Arabidopsis thaliana: one gene and its partners. The protein of the gene in region 1 interacts with the protein of each later gene in a pairwise test. Each region holds a gene or a part of one and is shown in the gene's direction. Other genes may lie near its edges. The genes, in order: AT5G11870, AT3G66654, AT5G03345 and AT3G28220.

Region 1 (4,484 bases):
ATAGATCAGTTCCCGAGAGCCGTCAAATTACAAACAACTAGCTCATACACTATCTGAGAACGAAAACAGATCTTGGATTAGAAAAGGAGCAAAGCCCTAGATACAATTCACAAAGAAGGAACCAAAACAAAAAAGTACCCAGATTTAAAATATTTGAAAGATAAAAACTTTGGAGCCAAAAGAAGCAAAATTCGAAAACTTTTCATCGCGGAAAGTGACAGAAATCAATATTTTAAGAAAGAGAACCGAACCGGAACTGAAACCCACGAAATCGATTTCAGATAATTTTCAATTTTGATATATATATCTAGGGCTTTTAATACGAAAAAAGGGGGGAAAAAAGACATGTGGAAAAATCAAAGCTTTTTACTGGGATAAACGATGGATAAATCTAATCTTTCCGCTTTCTCCGCAAATTTCTCTGCAAATTTCAAAATTTCTTCAACGAAGCGCACACCTAGATTAAACTTCAGTAGCCCAGAAATTCGAGCTGAGATTGAAGAGCTAAGAAGAAGAAACGGAGAGGGAGAGAGAGAAAAAAGAAAACCCTAGAGAGAGTATATTCGTCGGAAAAAAGTACCTCCGATCAAAAACGATTTCTTCTAGCTTCCGTCTTCTTCTCTCTCTCTCTTCGAAATAAAAGAGTAAAATATTTGCTCGAAATGAATGACAGACGACTATAGTCTACATAAGCAATGAAATATTTCATTTAAATGCCCTCATACTTTATTAATATTTCATTAGTAACCTCGATAGTTTTTGATTTGTTAAACTAAACCCCAAACATTCGAAGAGTATTAGGCCGGTAAATGATGACGTCATCTCCGGTTGGAGGATAGTACAACGATGCCGTAGAGAACTAGAGAAGTGTCTTTTTCTTAAAAAGGAACCTTCTGTTTTTTACAAATTGAACATGCATGTTATGGATTATTGGAATAAAAAAAACGTTTTGAAGACTTTTGAATATTTTCTTTGAAAAATGAAATTATACAAGATTATGTGACTTGATTAGATTTGATGTTACAAGTTAAGTTGGTTTAGAATAATCTTTGTTTAGTACTACTATATATAGGATGATCTATTTTTCATTGGTTATAGCTAGAATGCTATATAGAATTGTGGAATGTTGTTTCATGTCATGATTATGCAGATTTATTACCAAACACATAAAAGATTAAGAGGTATGACATGAATGACGTGTTCTGCTGATTATGTTTACGACGAAATCCAAATAAAAGACAATTTGATCCAACACAAACTGAAAAACACTCAACCTGCCAATATTATTCAAAGAAATGAACAACATCAAACTTGTATTCAAGCATGGCACAATGGATGATTCAGAGAGGACATGATGGCTTAAAACAACATTGATATATTTACGTTCCCAATTTGAGCTTTAGAATATATGTTTGTAATTTGAGAATACATATGATTGTTTCATCTTCTTCCCCATCTTTCTCTTATACTCTTTCGTTTTCTTGAATACTTTGTAGCATAAAGAGCATTTAGACTCTTAGTTCATTCTCTTTTGAACTTTGTCTCATGTTAATCCCATTTTTGTTTTTGTTTCATACATGGCTATCTATGTGGGTTACTTCTAAGAACTACAACAACACATCAAGGATATATAATTTAGCAATTTTCTTAGTTAACTTTTCCTTCTCCTAGAAACACTAACCAGGAAACAGTTAACTAAAACCACTCCCGCCAAGTTTTGAAACGTTGTACATATATATAGGAGTGAAAATATTACTTTCAGAAACATGGGGTGGGATATATATAAGATATAAAAATGTAAGGGGTTACTTTACAAATAAAATAGAATAGAAACAAAACGTAGACGTTTAGAGCGGTCCTCGTCAACTACGACAACATTAGAGATCGATCGTCGTCGTCGTACCCGTCAGACTCAAGGAAAAAGAAAAAAAGAGATTCCGCCGCACGTTGTTCTAATCGAAAAAAGCGACTCTCAATAAATCTGTCTTCCCTTTTCTTTCTTAAACTGGAAGAAGATTAATCAATCAGACACAACAGAGATAACTGATTTATCCACTTCAAACAATACAAACCTTTAAAGTCTTCACCTTTATAGAGAGAACTTTTAATGGTGTGGTTGACGAATCAACAGATAGGGAGATGGAAAAGGAAACGAATTTTGGTTGTGGGATCGTTCCTCTGTTGGTCAATCATCATGTTCATCACTCCCAAAGTTCCTCTCGATTCATTTCGCCATCATATCTTCGCCGATAAACGCAATTTCATGGGTATCATCATCATATCACACTCTCTCTTCTTTTTTTTTTATCTCTCTCTGTCTCTGTGCATGTGTAATAACGAGAGACAGGTGTTTTGTGTGGGTTTGATGATGAACAGGAGTGCCTAATACATTGAATGTGATGACCAACTTTCCCTTTCTTATCGTTGGAGTTCTTGGTTTTGTTCTTTGCATTGGAGGAAGCTTCTTCAACATAAGGTATCATTCTCTTTCCCTTTTTTGAGTTTTATTTTGAGTTAGTTTAACAATTTGAGTTGTTGTAATGCAGTTTAAATGGTGAGATCTGGGGATGGACACTGTTCTACGCAGGCATTGCAAGCTTGGCTTTTGGTTCTGCTTTTTATCATCTCAAACCTGATGACAACAGAATCGTCTGGGACACTTTGCCTGTTCGTTTTTCTCACTTTACTTTTCTTCGGAACATGAATCTTCTTTCAGTTATGCATTCATTGCTTCTTGATTAGTGATGCGGTAATTGTATATATTGACAAGCACATTGTGAATACAAAAAGTTGAAGAATCATCTTATAGCTATGTAAAAAAGCTTAGATTAGACTTCATGGTTTTTCTTGGATTGGTTGGTTCTACAAGCACATAGTGAAGTGAACACAACTCTTATAGCTAATGGAAAGAAGCTTTAGAGATTTTTCGGGTGTAGAGTTGTGGTTTTTGGTTTTATTGAATGGAAAGTTGTTTTTGCTCATCATTTTTGATGGTTGGTTTATGAATAGCTGTTTGTTGATTAATGACGGTAAATTGCAGATATTGATTGCGTATTCGTCGCTTTTCTCTAGTTTTTTGGTTGAGAGAGCGGGGGAGAAAGTGGGACTTAGTTGCCTCATCTTGCTTCTATTTATATCATGTCTCAGTGTTGCTTACGCCAGGTAACATTAAAACCAAGAAAGCATTACCTCCTCTGTATACATATATGTTCATGGTTTTAGTCAGGTTTCGGATTGAAATTATATGTGTCTTAGTTGATGGCAGAGTGTTTAATGATCTCCGGTTATGCATGACGTTCCAGTTGATACCGTGTCTGGTGATTCCCGTCATGGCGGTTTTGTTACCTCCCAAATATACACACTCTAGATTCTGGCTCTGGGCAACAGGTTTTTAACTCAAAACCACATTTGCGGTTTTCTTATTAGAATCCACGGTCTTCTGATATCTGCTTATCATGAATGCAGCGGCGTACACTATTGCCAAGATTGAAGGACTTGCAGACAACAAAATATACAATGCAAATCGATATATCATCAGTGGGCATTCACTGGAGCATTTGTGTTCTGCCGTGGCTACGCTTTTACTTACCATTATGCTTTTGTATAGAAGCATTCGGTTTAATAGGTAACGTTTTTTCACTGACTCTTTCTCTTTGATCTTTGAGTTCCTTGAAACCTGAGAGGATTTTTCACTTTTCTTTTGTATGATGGAAACTAAAACAGATTAGGTGATCTCAAAGGCCGTCCTTGACATTCATTACTGACTCCTCAAGTTTTTTTTCTCTTGTATTTAGATGCTTCTGGATTCTTGTATTACAAATTTTGTTTGGTTGCTAGATAGATTTTGACCCATGATCCCACTAAAACATCGTTAGCTTGGTGTAATCTTGGTTTCTGGTTCTGAAACAGCTTTGGCTTTAAGGTTACTTATTCAAGTCTTATATATGTGTTTGGACAATGGACAATTTTACATGTAGTAACTAAAAAGAAACCAAAAGAATAATCATAACTCACAAATACACCTTTTATTTTCGGTCTTGACTTGTGACCTGTTTCTTATTCATATGATCACTTTATTGAGGACTTTAAATCATAGCACAGAATGTGGAAAAATCCAAGACAGCAATAGCATTATAGAAACGTAATCATACAATTCATCTAAAATAGCAACAATGATGAGTAAATCTCGGAGTTCATAGTCCTTCAAAGAAACGTAAATGGTCATCGAATGTCTCAGCATGCCTGATCTTAGTGATCGACCCATCTTCTTCAACCTGCAAAAAGAAGAATATAAATCAATCACTTTCTCTCAGGATCTTGACCCTCCGCTAAATTTCCGCAGAAAACGATAATAAGAAACAGTATTGTTACCCAGTATTCCGGGGGACGCATCTTGAGATTGTAAGTGGAAGCCATACTCATACAGTATGCACCAGCGTCATGAACCACCAGACCAGCTCCCTGTAACGTATACAAGAAACTAA
Region 2 (4,824 bases), on another chromosome or scaffold:
ATTCCATTTGAGCTGGCGTACAGGGAGATGCGTTCTTTTGCTGAAGTGGAAATGAGAGAATATCAAGGGTATAAAAGACATGAGGAATTCTCTGAAATAGAGAAAAGACATCATTACATTCATGATTGGCATCTTGATAGATTTGTCTCAGAGGAAGATGGTTATAAGTATAGAATCCAAGATGGTTGGTCCTCACCGTCTTTATCTTTGAGAGATTCTTGGTATACCAAAGAAGCAAAAGGTGATTTCCGGAGAGATGATACCAGAGACTTCAGAACACCTGAAGCATATGACAGCCAGAATAACCATTTTCATAAGGCTGCACCGAGAGATGGCTGGACGCAGAATCTTGGTCGTAGCCATAATGTGAGCGTAAAAGATAGACTACAGTATGATGCTGATTGGGTTGGTCCTGATAGAGGAAGATATAATATGGCAGATGACATGCAATGTTCAATGAGAGAAGTTTCTAATTCTGAGCATCCATCATATACTGATGAGATATTTGTCCGCGACATAAGAGTACCGACACATAATCGGATGGCGACCAAACAAAGGTTTGGATATTTACAGAGCCATATTCATGAAAATGATGAAAGACATCACAGATCCAAGAAGCTGAGAGGAGATGGGCATGCTTTCATCAAGCGTCAGGATCATGTTGACTTAGCTGGTAGGCAAGGAAAGGTAAAGATTGGGAAACTAAATCTACATGCTTTTAAACCTATATTTGAATGAAGTATAAACGCCTTTCAGTTATTTATATCCCTGGATTTTCTTTGTGTTATTTCTGACTGTTTTATCACTTTATATGGTCTGTCTTCTATACTTAGGTTTTATGTTGCTCACATCCGTATATTTAGACATCAGTTAGTGTACAATGAAGAACAAGACCCTTCTCATGTGATAGATATTTTGTGTGTGTGTTTCAGGTCTCTAACCAATCAAAAAAAAGATTCTCCAATGGCGGAGATACAATCGAGCAACAAGATGTTCAGAAACCAAGAAAGTTAATGGGCAAAAGCGAAGAGAAAGCTATGCAGAATCGAGATATAAATGACAAAGAAGAAGGCGAGATAATAGAAGAAGTGAAAGGTGTTGAAATAGACAATGAACGTATACAAGAGAGTCTGAAAAAGATGGAGAAACGGAGGGAGAGGTTCAAGGGAACCAAATTGGCGGTAGAAGCGACATTCAAATCTCAAACTGAACTGAGAGCTAAAGCCGATGTTACTAATCAACAGAGGCCAGTTAGAAAGAGGAGATGGTGTGCAAGTTAAAAAGATCATATTGGATGGCTTGTTTCAGGTTAACACAATAACGGTTTATTGATGGTAGGCTATATCTAAACCGATCAATTAAAAAGTGGCTAAGAAAATCACAAAACCGAACAATTGACTGTGACCTGGGTTTTTTTAAGTGATCTTGCTTGTGCATTTTTTTTTTCCCTTTTGTAAGTGTTTACGTAGAAAATTTGACTTTTTTACCAATGCTTATTTATATTTACAGTTTAGTATGTGTAATGCAAAATCAAATGATGCAGCGAAGGATCAAACCAGTGACAATTAGGGCGGAAACCGTATGATTAACGTGATAACCACTAGACCATAGTAAAATTACTTTCTTTTGAATTTAGAATCATTTTCTTGGGTCAAATAGATAACCAGATAATTTCATGAGAAAACCAGACCGAACTATACGATTTTTCAAAAATGATCAACTTTTGTATTTTTGTTTGTGGAATAATATTCGTCGGATATTGGTGAGGTGGACTCGTAGCCGTCGGATAAACACGCGGCTGATCTGAAGCGTCTCTGCAAAAGAGAAAAGAGAGCAGAGAATTCAAACCAGTTTCCATCGACGCAACGACCAATCTCCACGATTCCTCTCTTCTCTCTAACTTCCAGGTACGTTTTTCGAGAACCCAATGAAGCAATCAAAGTCCTTGGAATTCATTTGATTTTACTTTCAGGTCTTTGGATTTCTATAGAAAGAAAGATCTGTTTATTATTTGATTGGAACATGATAAGCTGCTCCGTTTCTCATATCCACTTTTGTTCAATTTATTTCAATTTGATCGATAATTGGAAAAGTACTGGATCTGGTGTATCGGAAGTTACCGGTCAAGCTATGTATGAACCCTTGTGATATTTTCACATGCGTTTATTCATTCAAATATGCTAGATTTTTAATCTGGTCAATACGTGATATCAGGGTTTCTTCAGTTGGGTAACAACTTAATCTTATTGCAGTTTTGATTTTACCAACTTGAAATTGAATTATAGTCTTACAGATACGAATTTGGAGTTTTTGTGTAGTGTATACTTGTTTTCTGGATTGCTTGTCACTTACTGTTGATTTATGGTTTGCAGAGACAAGTTGTATCCCTCGTTTGCTTTCTGCGAAACTAAGGTGCAATGGCGAAGATAAAACCGCAGGCTCTTCTAAATCAAAGCAAGAAGAAGAAGGGTCCAAGTCGCATAAGTATTTCCACTATTATTGTCTGTAATCTTGTAGTTGCTGTAGTCATATTATCGTTGGTCACAACCTATCGCCATTGGTCCCAAAGGTTTGTTTTCATCTTTGAATTGTTCCTTTTTCATTACTTCTGTTATAGTAGATTCTCCTTTTACTTTATGTGATTATCTATAAACTAAAAAGGATATCATTGGTTATATCTCCTAGGTCAAGAAACACAATTGAACATGAAACTCGGAGTCAGAGATTTGAGGTATTTTCTTGAGAGATTTTTTAATGTATAGCTTTTGAGTTTTGATCCTGATGAACTTCCGAGCACTTAGGTTTAGAGTTTAGGGTATTTACCATATGTGATCTGGCTTTGGTTTCTGCTTCAGGACACTAATACTGCGTCAGGGCAAAAAACTTACGATCTTCCTGGTTTTGCTGTAAGTTAATCTCCCTGTTTGCTTGCTTAAGTTTCTTGTTTTAATCCTTGTTCTTATTTCTCATCATGGTATTATGTTCTGTTCATCAGTTTTTGAAGTAAAAAAAATGTGATGTGTCTTATCTGAATATTGATTTTAATGATATCTTGCTTCTATTTTCCTATCTCATGTAGGATATAAACACATCAAAAGGACTTATAACTGTCGAACTCTTCAAAGAAGGTTCCCCTGAAGTTGTGGACAAGTTTCTAGATCTATGGTTAGTATTGGAATTCGTTTGTTTTCCTTTAAGTTAGATAGAAAAAGAACAGTAGAGTAATTTGATTAAGCTAGGTCATGACTTGTTCTTAAATAGGAGTATTACTTCTAGCTTGATAGGATTCAAGTAGCTTTAGTTTCTTGATTGACTGATTTTGATCCTTAAGTCCTCTTGTACTCTTCTTGGAATTTTTGTTTGGAACATGAAACCTCATTAAAGAGAAATGGGCTGAATCAGTCTGTGACGATATTGTAGCTTAATATAATAGTAGAAGTTGAACATTGAGTATTGTTGCAGTCAAAAAGATCACTTCAAGGGAATGCCGTTTCAGCGGGTTATAAAGAACTACTTGGTACAAGCTGGTCACTCACCGAGCTCTATACCTGTAGAAGAATGGACAGCTAAAGGAAAGCTCAGAGGTCGCCTTCACATTGGGTATAACTTGCTTGCTCTGCTTTTGGCTTTTAAGTGTCAATGTTTATCATCTCTCGCTGGTTTTAAAAAATAAAAAACTACATATGTTCTGTTACAGCCCAAAACATGAGGCATTCATGTTGGGAACACCAAAAAACAAAGGGAACAACAAGGATTTTGAGCTTCTGATCACAACGGCCCCAATCCCGGATCTGAATGATCAACTTATAGTGTTTGGAAGAGTCCTTAAGGGAGAGGATGTAGTACAGGTTTGATCCAACTAAGCACAGTCTATCAGCTTGAATGGTTTGTTTAATAGTTTCATGTGTTAAAAGATTAAATCATATTATTACAGGAGATCGAAGAAGTGGATACGGATGAGCATTTCCAACCGAAATCGCCAATAGGGATCACTGGTGTTGTACTGAAACTAGAGACATGAAATGAAAATTTCTCTTCCTTGCTTCCTCTGTAAATGAGGCTCACGCCAAATCCTTCTTCATACTCGCTCTTTTGTATAAATCCTCTTTTGAGGTTTTTTCTTTCTTTCTATTTTACAGTTTCTTGTTGTTTTGTAATTTTATTTGATTTTTCTCGAGGAAATAGAATCTTTGTTTAATTATGCTTCTGATACTTGAGCAAATACATGAACTGATTTTAGAGAATTTTATCCTGTTATGATAGAAAAACTTCTGTATTATACCCGTTAAGTACCATAAAACTATTAGAGAAAAAGAGAGGTCTTTTAAAATTTATATGAGAAGATATGGAGAACAATCTGAAAAACCAGAAACAAATCCTTTAAGAATTCTTAAAAATCTCTACAAGATTTCTTTTAAAAACTCTAAAATAATTCTTAAACAATTCTTAAGGAATTCTTAAATTATTCATAGAATACAATTACAAAAATACTGTATTTTTGTTTTAGGTAATATTTAATAATTTGGAATAAGATATATAGGACATACATCAAATTATGTATTTTGATACTATTTTGACTAAAACTTAAAAATGTTAAAAACACATTTATAAATATGTTAATTAGTTGGTGTACTCTTATGTATTTTTTTCTAATTAAAGATAAATATCTAGAGTGTGTAGACAAAATCTATAATAATATAAGAGAAAAAAAAACAAATAACGCTTTAAAATTTCATATCGTAATCATTATCAATTTTGTAGAGTAGGAGATATTGTTATAATTCATTGTTTTTGAAAAGAGAAAATCTTCATAGTAATATTTGG
Region 3 (4,030 bases), 3.0 Mb from region 1:
GATCAGTCTCGATCACTTTGAACTCCACACTCCTCATTCCTCCTCTCACTAGGAAAAGATCTCCCTTCCTCACTGGACGGTACGCCTCCAGAAAGTAAGCTGGTGAAAAAAACAATATAAGTTTAGAAAACACGAACTCCAAAAGACAAGCTAGACTATGATATGAAAGAGAGAATCAAAAGATTAAAGCAAACTTACGTTTCAGGTAAGCATCAAAGAGGTTTCCAGTAACGCCTTCAACTGTATCATCAACAGGCAAGATGTGAACACGCTTTCCATACTTGACATCTGGGCATTGGTGAACAGAAATAACATCTCCCAGCCTAACCCTCAAGTTAGACCTTACAACCTTATTCATTCTGATCTTGGGTTCCTCACATGTTTCATCAGCGAGGGCAATGCATACAGTGTCCTTCCTCTTCTTACCCTGAAAATCCAAAACCCCAATCAAGTAAGTAATCACAGAGATAAAAAGAACAATCCAAACCAATTCTAAACTCAAAAAAAAAAACTTCAGACAAAAAAGTTGTACCCTAACTGAATATGTTTACAAGATCAGACAAAGTAAAAAACATAACTGAATATGTTTACAACATGCTCGTGATATACAGTCAAGACACAGACGATCCAAACCAAGTCTAAACTCAAAACACCCTAACATAGTGACATAAGGAACAAAACCTAACCTTGATGAGAATTGTATCGCCTCGGAAAAGCTGGAGTTTTTCCATGGTAGTAGGATGGAGAGAGACAACAGAGTTGTCATCGTTAATAGCTTCATCGACAACAAGTCGGTTTGGAGACTTCTTCCTCTCTAGAATCGCAGTACTGAAATCCTTCTTAGTTTTCCTGAAACAAATACCCCAGGAAGACAAACAAAATCAGCTTTCAGATGAGATCAAACTAAAAAACCCTATTCTCAATATCGAAAAACCCAAGTAAAAAAATCGAAACTTTATGATCGGAAAACAAAAATCAAAGATCTAAGTACTTACGAGTCGGAGGATTCCGGTTCGTTTGACATAATGATAGCTTAAACTGACAAGAGAGCTCTAAGAAGGAAGTTGGGAAATTTGTTTCTAGAGAGATCGATTGGTGATGATGATGATGATGATGAATGGGATCTCAAGGGAGCTGAACTCGGGATTTTATACGCTCTGTGATTTCCTTCTTGTTGGAAAAATAAGCGACCCTTAACTTTTAAGTTTATCTTGAAAAGTTCCAAAAACTAGGTGTTGTGATAAATACACCCATGTTCCCTTAACATCATATCAATTAATTTATATTATTATATGATTTATCGAGAATCAAAACAAAAATCTACCTATATGAAGAATTAAAAAATTTGATGTAATTTTAAACTTATTTTAATAGTGTGGCGAGGGTACGTAAATGTTTATTAAAAACGTTATGGGGGAAAGTTGAAAATAAAAGTAAAAGAGAGGTGAGGATAACAGTTTTACTTTCTGGTTTTAGCAAACACAAGAAAGGAATAGAAGGTTCTTAGGTAGCGGTACCAAAGCAAGCTACATGTTTTTCTTACTTTTTTATAAATAGAAATTTAATATCTTACCATTTGATTTCTTTGTTCTAAAATAGATTTCCGTTTTTTTTATACGAAGTTATCAACATACGATTCAATTCAATAATTGCAGAAATTTTTGTTTGCATATGAATATATCATCAATATGAAATTCTAAATAAATATTCATAATTATTTATTATACGAAAAAATAATTATTTTCCCAAAAGATAAACCCTTATTGTTGTAAAAAAGTTATCAAACTAACTGAACTTTCATCTAATTAAAAATATTAGTTACTTAAAAAAAAGTTTGGGTTACAAAAGATTAATAGGAATCTAGGATATCATCAATCTAGAACTACGCGCCGTTGTTAGTCTCTTCGATATTAGACGTTGCGCCGTTTTCACTTTGAGATTTGCGATATTATAACTACATGCCGTTTTAAACTCCACTGATCGTCTTCTATTCTAGTTCGATTCTCGACGGAGAATACTCGACGAGAAAATCCAGATCGGGAATCAACTTAGAGAAGAAGAAAATTAAAAAAGAGAACTTCTAAAGATGAATTTGGGGTTCTTAGTTGGAGTTTTCGGCGTTCTTATTCTTTCTCATGCCGCTTATTCAACAATCCAATGTATGTCTACTCTTCCCAATCCAATTCCAGTTCCAATTGAGTCAGATCTACTTTAATTTTCGAGATAGGATCTTGATTTGGGTTTCTCTTGTTTATTTCAGATAGAGGATTGTTGAAGATTATGGAGGAAGAGTTTTCTCGACCACCGATTAATGTGAGTATATAATGATAACGGTTTCTCTTTTCCTCAATTGTGTTTGAATTATATCAGCAATGATTATGCTTTTATATGAATCATGATTGGATTTATTTAAGGTTATTCTGGAGTTGATCATTGGACTAGCTCTGTGTATGTGGGCTGCTTTGACTTTCCCTGGTAAATTTCTCTCGATCCATCCGGATTCTGATGAAAACAGGTTTGTGATCATGTTTCTCTCGAACTCTCTGTTTTGCATCAGTGTTAATCAATCTGAATTCATGTTATCTAGTGAGTGTTTTTACTATTGAATTTTTCTCTGTTCGTACTTTGTTGAACTTGGTGTAGAGTTACTACGGGTCTTATAGAAGCATCTTCTGGCTAGATTTGGTTCAATTATTCAGTTTAATCATGGGTGTTTCTAGTGAATATGTTTTCTTTTGACTGAGAAGGTTTACGGATGTGTTGTTAATCAATTGATTCAAAGAACTTGTGCTCTAGAGATGTTTCGAGGGTCTAGTTTTGATGTCTCTTTAACTCTCTGTTGTGCATCAGTGTTTATCAATCTGAAACATGGAAATTTGGTAGTTATTATATTTCCCGATGATTGAATGACCACCAAAGACTCATGTTTATTGATAAGAAACTGTCGTCTAGAGATGTTCTAGGTCAAACATTGATGTTTCTTTAATACTTTGTGCAGCTAAGGTTTTCTAAAATGCAGGACATTCAAAGGGACATTTTCTAGTTTATATTTGGTCCAGTTACGATTATGGGTTTCAAGAGCTTTAACCAGTTCTGCTCCTGGCTAATTCAATCAGTTTATATTTGTTTCATTGGCTCTTTAGACCCACTTTGGTTCCTTCTATGTCGCAGCCTCTCCCCTACCTTTTTGTACATTAGGTTCTTGAATTGGTTTTGAGTTTGGCTTTTGCTAGATAAAGTGAATATCTCCTGTTAACTGGTTTCTTTCAAAAAATTTGCAGGGCGGTGTTTTTACCAGATAATTCGGATTTCATGATATTCAATCACCGTGGCAGACTGTTCCCACCGCAGATCGACATGAAGTTTTGAATTTTTATCACACTGCTTAGTCAAACACTGATCTGTGTAATGTTATGAGATGTTTCCATTGAAATTCTACTCTAAGTAACTACTCTGCTTTGCATCAATTTTTGATTCTTGAAACGAGTCTTGTGATGTTTCTGTGTGTCAGGTCTCTACTTAGAATCTTTTAGAATGAAGAATCAACATAACAACAAGTGCACAGGTCCTAGCAGGATAGGATACTGTGTAAATAGTCAAATACAAACAATTAAAACAACAAAATTTGCTATTTTATTCATTCCGGTTACAACTTTCTGATACATTAGAAAAAGCATAACCGAACAGAACCGGTTTAGATTCTCTTGGCACTGTTCTGGAAGGTCCAACTCCAAATGTCATGACGTTCAACGCCACGGCCCATGGCACCAGAAAAACCGGGGTACATATTTTGAAGAAAAACCTTAGAGAGATCTAAATGGGCAACGATCAAAGGCTTCTTAGGTTTCTTAACGGTTTCTGGCGCGAGAGTAACTGTAACCTTGGAGTTTCTATACTCAATCCAAGCCTTGTACCTCTCTCCATTACTCAGCTTGAACTCTTTAAACGACCAGTGTTTCATTTTCCCAATTCCTGTCTGAACCCAATAACCAGCTTTCTCAGCAACAACGGAAGTAACAGAGTTGATATT
Region 4 (4,829 bases), on another chromosome or scaffold:
TCGGTTACCAATTTCTGTGTCTGTTTATTTTCTTACCAAGCAATCTCTATCACTCTTTTCTCCACAAAAGTAATGAATAAATAACATAATAATGTTGTATATAACATACCAAACCCGAGGCAATTACAAGACAAAAACCATTATCCTACAAATTAAAAATTCAAGACAAATAGCCAAAAACCATAATCTATATCTTGAAGCCGAGATCATAGTCAAAACCATCATCCCATCATGTTACACATAAATCCGATAATCCAAATTAAAACCATCATCCTGAACATCATAAGTTTCCCAAACCAAAAGCTTTTACACAATTAATCACTAAGTGAAATTTGTGATACTTGATTCGGACCTTGATAAGAATGAAAGTGTAATCCTTTGTATTTCTTATCTATCAATCCAATTACAAAGAATCAAAACCCTAATCGATAAGCTTGAAGTTACAGTTCTCCAATCTTATCTCCTAAGAACAGAGCACATGCATAAGCCCTAATTCTACTCACAACATCAATATGATCACGAAGGATGCTTTTCTCTCTACTCTCTCTTAGACTCTTACTATTTATAAGTTTCTTCACACGTGACTCCGATCTCTCACTTCAGTTCTCACACGTGCCAACTTCTCATGAACGTATCAGACCTTCACCAAGTTGTTTTGTGGCCGACTTTTAGCTTGGATTCCAACATTAAAAATGTCATTCTCATCATCACCTCCTCTAACATCATTTCCATCATCACAAACTCGAGCATTCTCACCATTGACGTTTTCACAAGCTCTTTTCATCATTACATTCTTCAAGAATCTATTCCTTCTCCGTAAATATAACAACCGCTTTTGTCCACTTTGCAGCTAGACACATTCTCTCGAAAATATCATCTCTAGTATACAACGGTTCAGCTCTATAAACTTCTCAAAAGGAAGCTTATACCGTATCCTTTGCCCAAACAAAGACAATCCCACCGACTCCATCATGTTATTAAAAAAATTTTCTTGCATGCACACAAGTGTGTGAATCTGGCCTCCATCATATGTAAAAACATTACCGTCTGTACAAACAAAAAAAACTATTTTTGGCGAAAAAATTATCGTCGAAATATTGTTGGTAGGAAAAACACAATTTTATTTTGTTAACTTTAAACATTAAAAAAATAAGGATATATGGTTATTAAAAATTAAAAGAGAGTAATGAAAATGAATTACATGAAAGGGTAGAATTAAAAATGAGTAGCATTGGAAGGTCATTCCTAATAATTTATTTATTATAAATTCTAGATATTTATAAAATAAAAACTCAAATATTATTATATATTATACTATAAATTAATAAAAAATATTTTCTACAAATAAAAACATTTTTTAAAAATTAATTATTAAGCATTTAATCGATAGTTTTGATACGTATATAATAAAATATAGTTTTTAGTCTTTGTATTGATTACTGAAGTTCTACATTATAGCTAAAGCTAAAGCTAAATCCAAAAACAGAGGCTAGGATCGGAACAGAAGAACAAAACTATGTTGTGGTGTAGAGCGTTTGGGTCCATTTCTTGTTGTTAGCTAAAGCTATGTCTGGAGTGTTTGACGTTACATGCTAAATTTAGGTACAACTTAAACTTTTGTCTTTTTCTTGAAAACACGTGTTGAACAAATCTTTTCTGGTCGATAACTCAAGAAATCTTATCTGGTCGCAATCCATCTTATACCGACGTGAAATCTCAAGACACGTGAATATATAACTTGTTCATAATAACATTATCACTTTTATCGAACGCACAAAAGATCCTCCGCTATAAATATTTGTGGTGAAGAACTCTTTATACCAAACAAAAAAAGCTAAATACCAAATAAATGTTGGTACTCATCATACATATATAACTAACTCACCTTTTTGGTGTGTAGATAAATATATCTAACTAACTCCATTACATATTCCAGTCATTTGCTTATAAATTATAACCGTCACACTTACCAATTCAGTCACTTAACCAAACATGTCTGAAAAGGGGTTGATAAAAAAAGAAGACCACATGTTTCAAGAGGAGAAGAGAAAGACAAACTATGGAGCAATTGGCTTGGCTTGCTTCATTTCTTGTTTCTTTGCATTCCAATTCATGAAAATCGTAACAACACAACCTTCAACAACAACAACATCATCCATTGCCGTTATCGATAGCCCAATGTCCTCCCATAAGCTATCTGATAGGAGAGAAATATGGAGAGTTATCCCACCATCTACCTATTGTCTCAAAATCGAATCTTTCATAAAATTCGCCACTTCTCCAAACGCCGAGAAGTACGAATCCCGTCCTTTTGAATCCGGTGGATACAACTGGTAAGTAGTATTTTATCCTACATTTTGCATATGTCTTTGCATCACAAATTTTCAACGACACATTTGATTGTAAGACTATATATCCTTTTGCAAACAGGACACTTATTGTCTATCCTAAAGGAAACATTAAGGAAGGAGCTCCACTTAATTACGTTTCAATGTACGTCCAAATAGACAATTCAACACTCCTTAACTCTCCAAAAGAAGTTTACGCAGAAGTCAAATTCTTCATTTATAACCGGAAAGAGGACAAGTACTTAACATATCAAGGTATATACATCCGAACGCCCTATTTATATCTTATTTATAAACTATATTGTATTAATCAAATTTTCAACGTTTAAATTTAAAACAATTGAGACGCTGATAGTTTGCATAGTTTCAAATGCCAAAATTTGCATTTAAAAACACACAATCTCAAACGCATGTCTTGGTACACAGAGACGGATGCAAAACGCTTTTTTCTGTTCAAACCATATTGGGGATATGGTAATGTTAGACCCTACACCGACGTGGCTAATCCCAATGCTGGTTGGCTTTTCGACGGTGACAATGTTTTATTCGGTGTGGACGTATTTGTCACTGAAGTTTTTAACAAATGGGAAGTGTTCTCATTCACTAAGAGTTTGCATGACCGCCTTTACAAATGGACGTTACCCAATTTCTCGTCACTAGAGAAACAGTACTATGTCTCTGACAAGTTCGTGATCGGTGGGAGAAGCTGGTGAGTTCCTCATGTCATAAATTCTTTAAGCCACATATTGATACTTAGTCCTGGATGTTCGGTTATCCATTCCGTTATCGGTTTTTTCGGTTCTAAAGTTATTATCTATTTGGTTATTTTGAAATTTCGGTTTGGTTCTTTCGGTTTTAAATTTAGTATCCATTCCGTTATTTTGATTTGAATATTTTCGGATATTTTAATTATTTTTGGATATTTCGGTTATTTTTGGATATTTTTGATTATTTTTGAATATTTTAACTATTTTATATATATTTTTAATTATTTAGTTTAAAAATAACTAATATTTTTAATTATTTAGTTTAAAAATAACTAATATTTTTGGAAATATATTTATATTTCAGATATTTTGGTTATCCGGGATATTTTGGTACGTAGCCATTTAGTTTCGGTTCTTTCGGTTCTTTCGGTTATATATAGAATTTAGTATCCATTTGATTATTTTTTAATTTTTGATTCCGTTCGATTCTGTTATTTTGTTTCGATTTTAGTTCGGTACATTCGATTAGGTTTATTTGCGCAGGCTTACTAATACTGATTCAAGAAAAAATTAACTATTTACAATATTTTAATATACAACTCTTAGGGCTTTGAAAGTGTATCCAAGTGGCGATGGCGAAGGACAGGGTAACTCGTTGTCGTTATATGTTGTTGCGGTTGATGTTAAGCCGTATGACAAGATTTACCTAAAAGCTAAGCTACGGATTATAAACCAGAGAGATTCTAAACACATGGAGAAGAAAGGTAAATTATATCGAACCATAATAGTGTGGCTAATGTTACTTACTCTATTAATTTTTTTCTTTTAGAGTTTAATTAACACTAACTTAATGACAGTTGAAAGCTGGTCGGATCAAGCAAACAGTTGGGGATTCCAGAAGTTTGTACCATTTGCTGATCTTAAGGATACTTCTAAAGGTCTTCTTGTGAATGATACATTGAAGATGGAGATTGAATTTGAAGATTTCTCTAACACAAAATACTTTCCAAGTTAAGTTTTGCATAATGCAAAACCAGAGAGCTTGGAACCAATTGTGTTCTGTTTTTTAAGTGTTTTTGTGCTAATAATTGGAGGATTGGTCTTCCTAAGGTTTAGGAGCCTATCTCCCACTTTTCCCAATTCCCTAGTTTGTAGAAATCGTTGATTCCAAGCTAGCTTTTCTTGTACTTGTTTCCTATTTAAATAAATGAAAACTAAGAATAAAAGCAGTCTTAATTTACCATTGAAAAACTCTTGTTCTTACTTCATTCTAGCTGCGACTAAGACTAACACTAACCGTGGAATAACACTTCTAAAATCAACCGAATAAGTTTGCGCGTATGATAGTAATTTGAAATAATAACAAGCTTTGCGCACCAACAATAAACATCGATCATGTTCTTAAGTTTCACGAGTGCTTCTTTGTTATTTGCTCTCTTTCATCTGTTTGTTACTCTATTATTTCTCTGGTTATGTAGTGTATATAATACATATAGATCTACCAAGCAATTCATAATGTATAATATATCTGCCATGTATACTCTATGTAAATTAAGCTATGTAACCAATCCATACTCTTCTTTCATTGTATTTTTAACAATCATCAATAAGCAAATCAAAATTACCAATATCTAATACAACTCGTTCCTTTTAGGAAATAAATAAGAAGCAAAGAAAATACTCTCTACTAGTTGATGAAGGCTTGGAAGGGAGATGACAAAACGTACGTAGCAAATCAAAGAGGAAAATCCAACCCTATCCACACAGTTTTTGG

What was found.
Region 2: the proteins of AT5G11870 (region 1) and AT3G66654 interact in a protein complementation assay, tested with the Arabidopsis thaliana proteins (one large-scale study listed by BioGRID).
Region 3: the proteins of AT5G11870 (region 1) and AT5G03345 interact in a protein complementation assay, tested with the Arabidopsis thaliana proteins (one large-scale study listed by BioGRID).
Region 4: the proteins of AT5G11870 (region 1) and AT3G28220 interact in a protein complementation assay, tested with the Arabidopsis thaliana proteins (one large-scale study listed by BioGRID).

The regions. Positions count from the first base shown.
Region 1 is NC_003076.8:3,823,613-3,828,096, forward strand, and holds AT5G11870 (Alkaline phytoceramidase (aPHC)), read left to right. Parts: upstream 1-1,807; 5' UTR 1,808-2,107; coding exon 2,108-2,267; intron 2,268-2,376; coding exon 2,377-2,476; intron 2,477-2,546; coding exon 2,547-2,667; intron 2,668-3,040; coding exon 3,041-3,162; intron 3,163-3,265; coding exon 3,266-3,387; intron 3,388-3,465; coding exon 3,466-3,625; coding exon of another isoform or gene 3,626-3,629; exon of another isoform or gene 3,630-3,723; coding exon 3,724-3,751; 3' UTR 3,752-3,961; downstream 3,962-4,484. Other genes in the region: AT5G11880 (Pyridoxal-dependent decarboxylase family protein), read right to left, coding at 4,194-4,274, 4,372-4,461.
Region 2 is NC_003074.8:2,086,277-2,091,100, forward strand, and holds AT3G66654 (Cyclophilin-like peptidyl-prolyl cis-trans isomerase family protein), read left to right. Parts: upstream 1-1,639; 5' UTR 1,640-1,907; exon of another isoform or gene 1,908-2,372; 5' UTR 2,373-2,417; coding exon 2,418-2,569; intron 2,570-2,685; coding exon 2,686-2,731; intron 2,732-2,855; coding exon 2,856-2,906; intron 2,907-3,079; coding exon 3,080-3,165; intron 3,166-3,462; coding exon 3,463-3,600; intron 3,601-3,697; coding exon 3,698-3,848; intron 3,849-3,934; coding exon 3,935-4,021; 3' UTR 4,022-4,265; downstream 4,266-4,824. Other genes in the region: AT3G66652 (fip1 motif-containing protein), read left to right, coding at 1-687, 933-1,280. UniProt on the Arabidopsis thaliana protein: PPIases accelerate the folding of proteins. It catalyzes the cis-trans isomerization of proline imidic peptide bonds in oligopeptides.
Region 3 is NC_003076.8:812,110-816,139, forward strand, and holds AT5G03345 (membrane magnesium transporter-like protein), read left to right. Parts: upstream 1-1,975; 5' UTR 1,976-2,086; coding exon 2,087-2,163; intron 2,164-2,260; coding exon of another isoform or gene 2,261-2,264; coding exon 2,265-2,313; intron 2,314-2,414; coding exon 2,415-2,606; 3' UTR 2,607-3,198; intron 3,199-3,281; coding exon of another isoform or gene 3,282-3,369; 3' UTR 3,370-3,510; downstream 3,511-4,030. Other genes in the region: AtCDC48C (ATPase, AAA-type, CDC48 protein), read right to left, coding at 1-99, 199-427, 687-849, 996-1,024; AT5G03350 (Legume lectin family protein), read right to left, coding at 3,695-4,030. UniProt on the Arabidopsis thaliana protein: Mediates Mg(2+) transport.
Region 4 is NC_003074.8:10,522,428-10,527,256, forward strand, and holds AT3G28220 (TRAF-like family protein), read left to right. Parts: upstream 1-1,753; 5' UTR 1,754-1,992; coding exon 1,993-2,333; intron 2,334-2,430; coding exon 2,431-2,603; intron 2,604-2,774; coding exon 2,775-3,057; intron 3,058-3,661; coding exon 3,662-3,819; intron 3,820-3,912; coding exon 3,913-4,070; 3' UTR 4,071-4,306; downstream 4,307-4,829. Other genes in the region: AT3G28216 (uncharacterized protein), read right to left, coding at 851-997.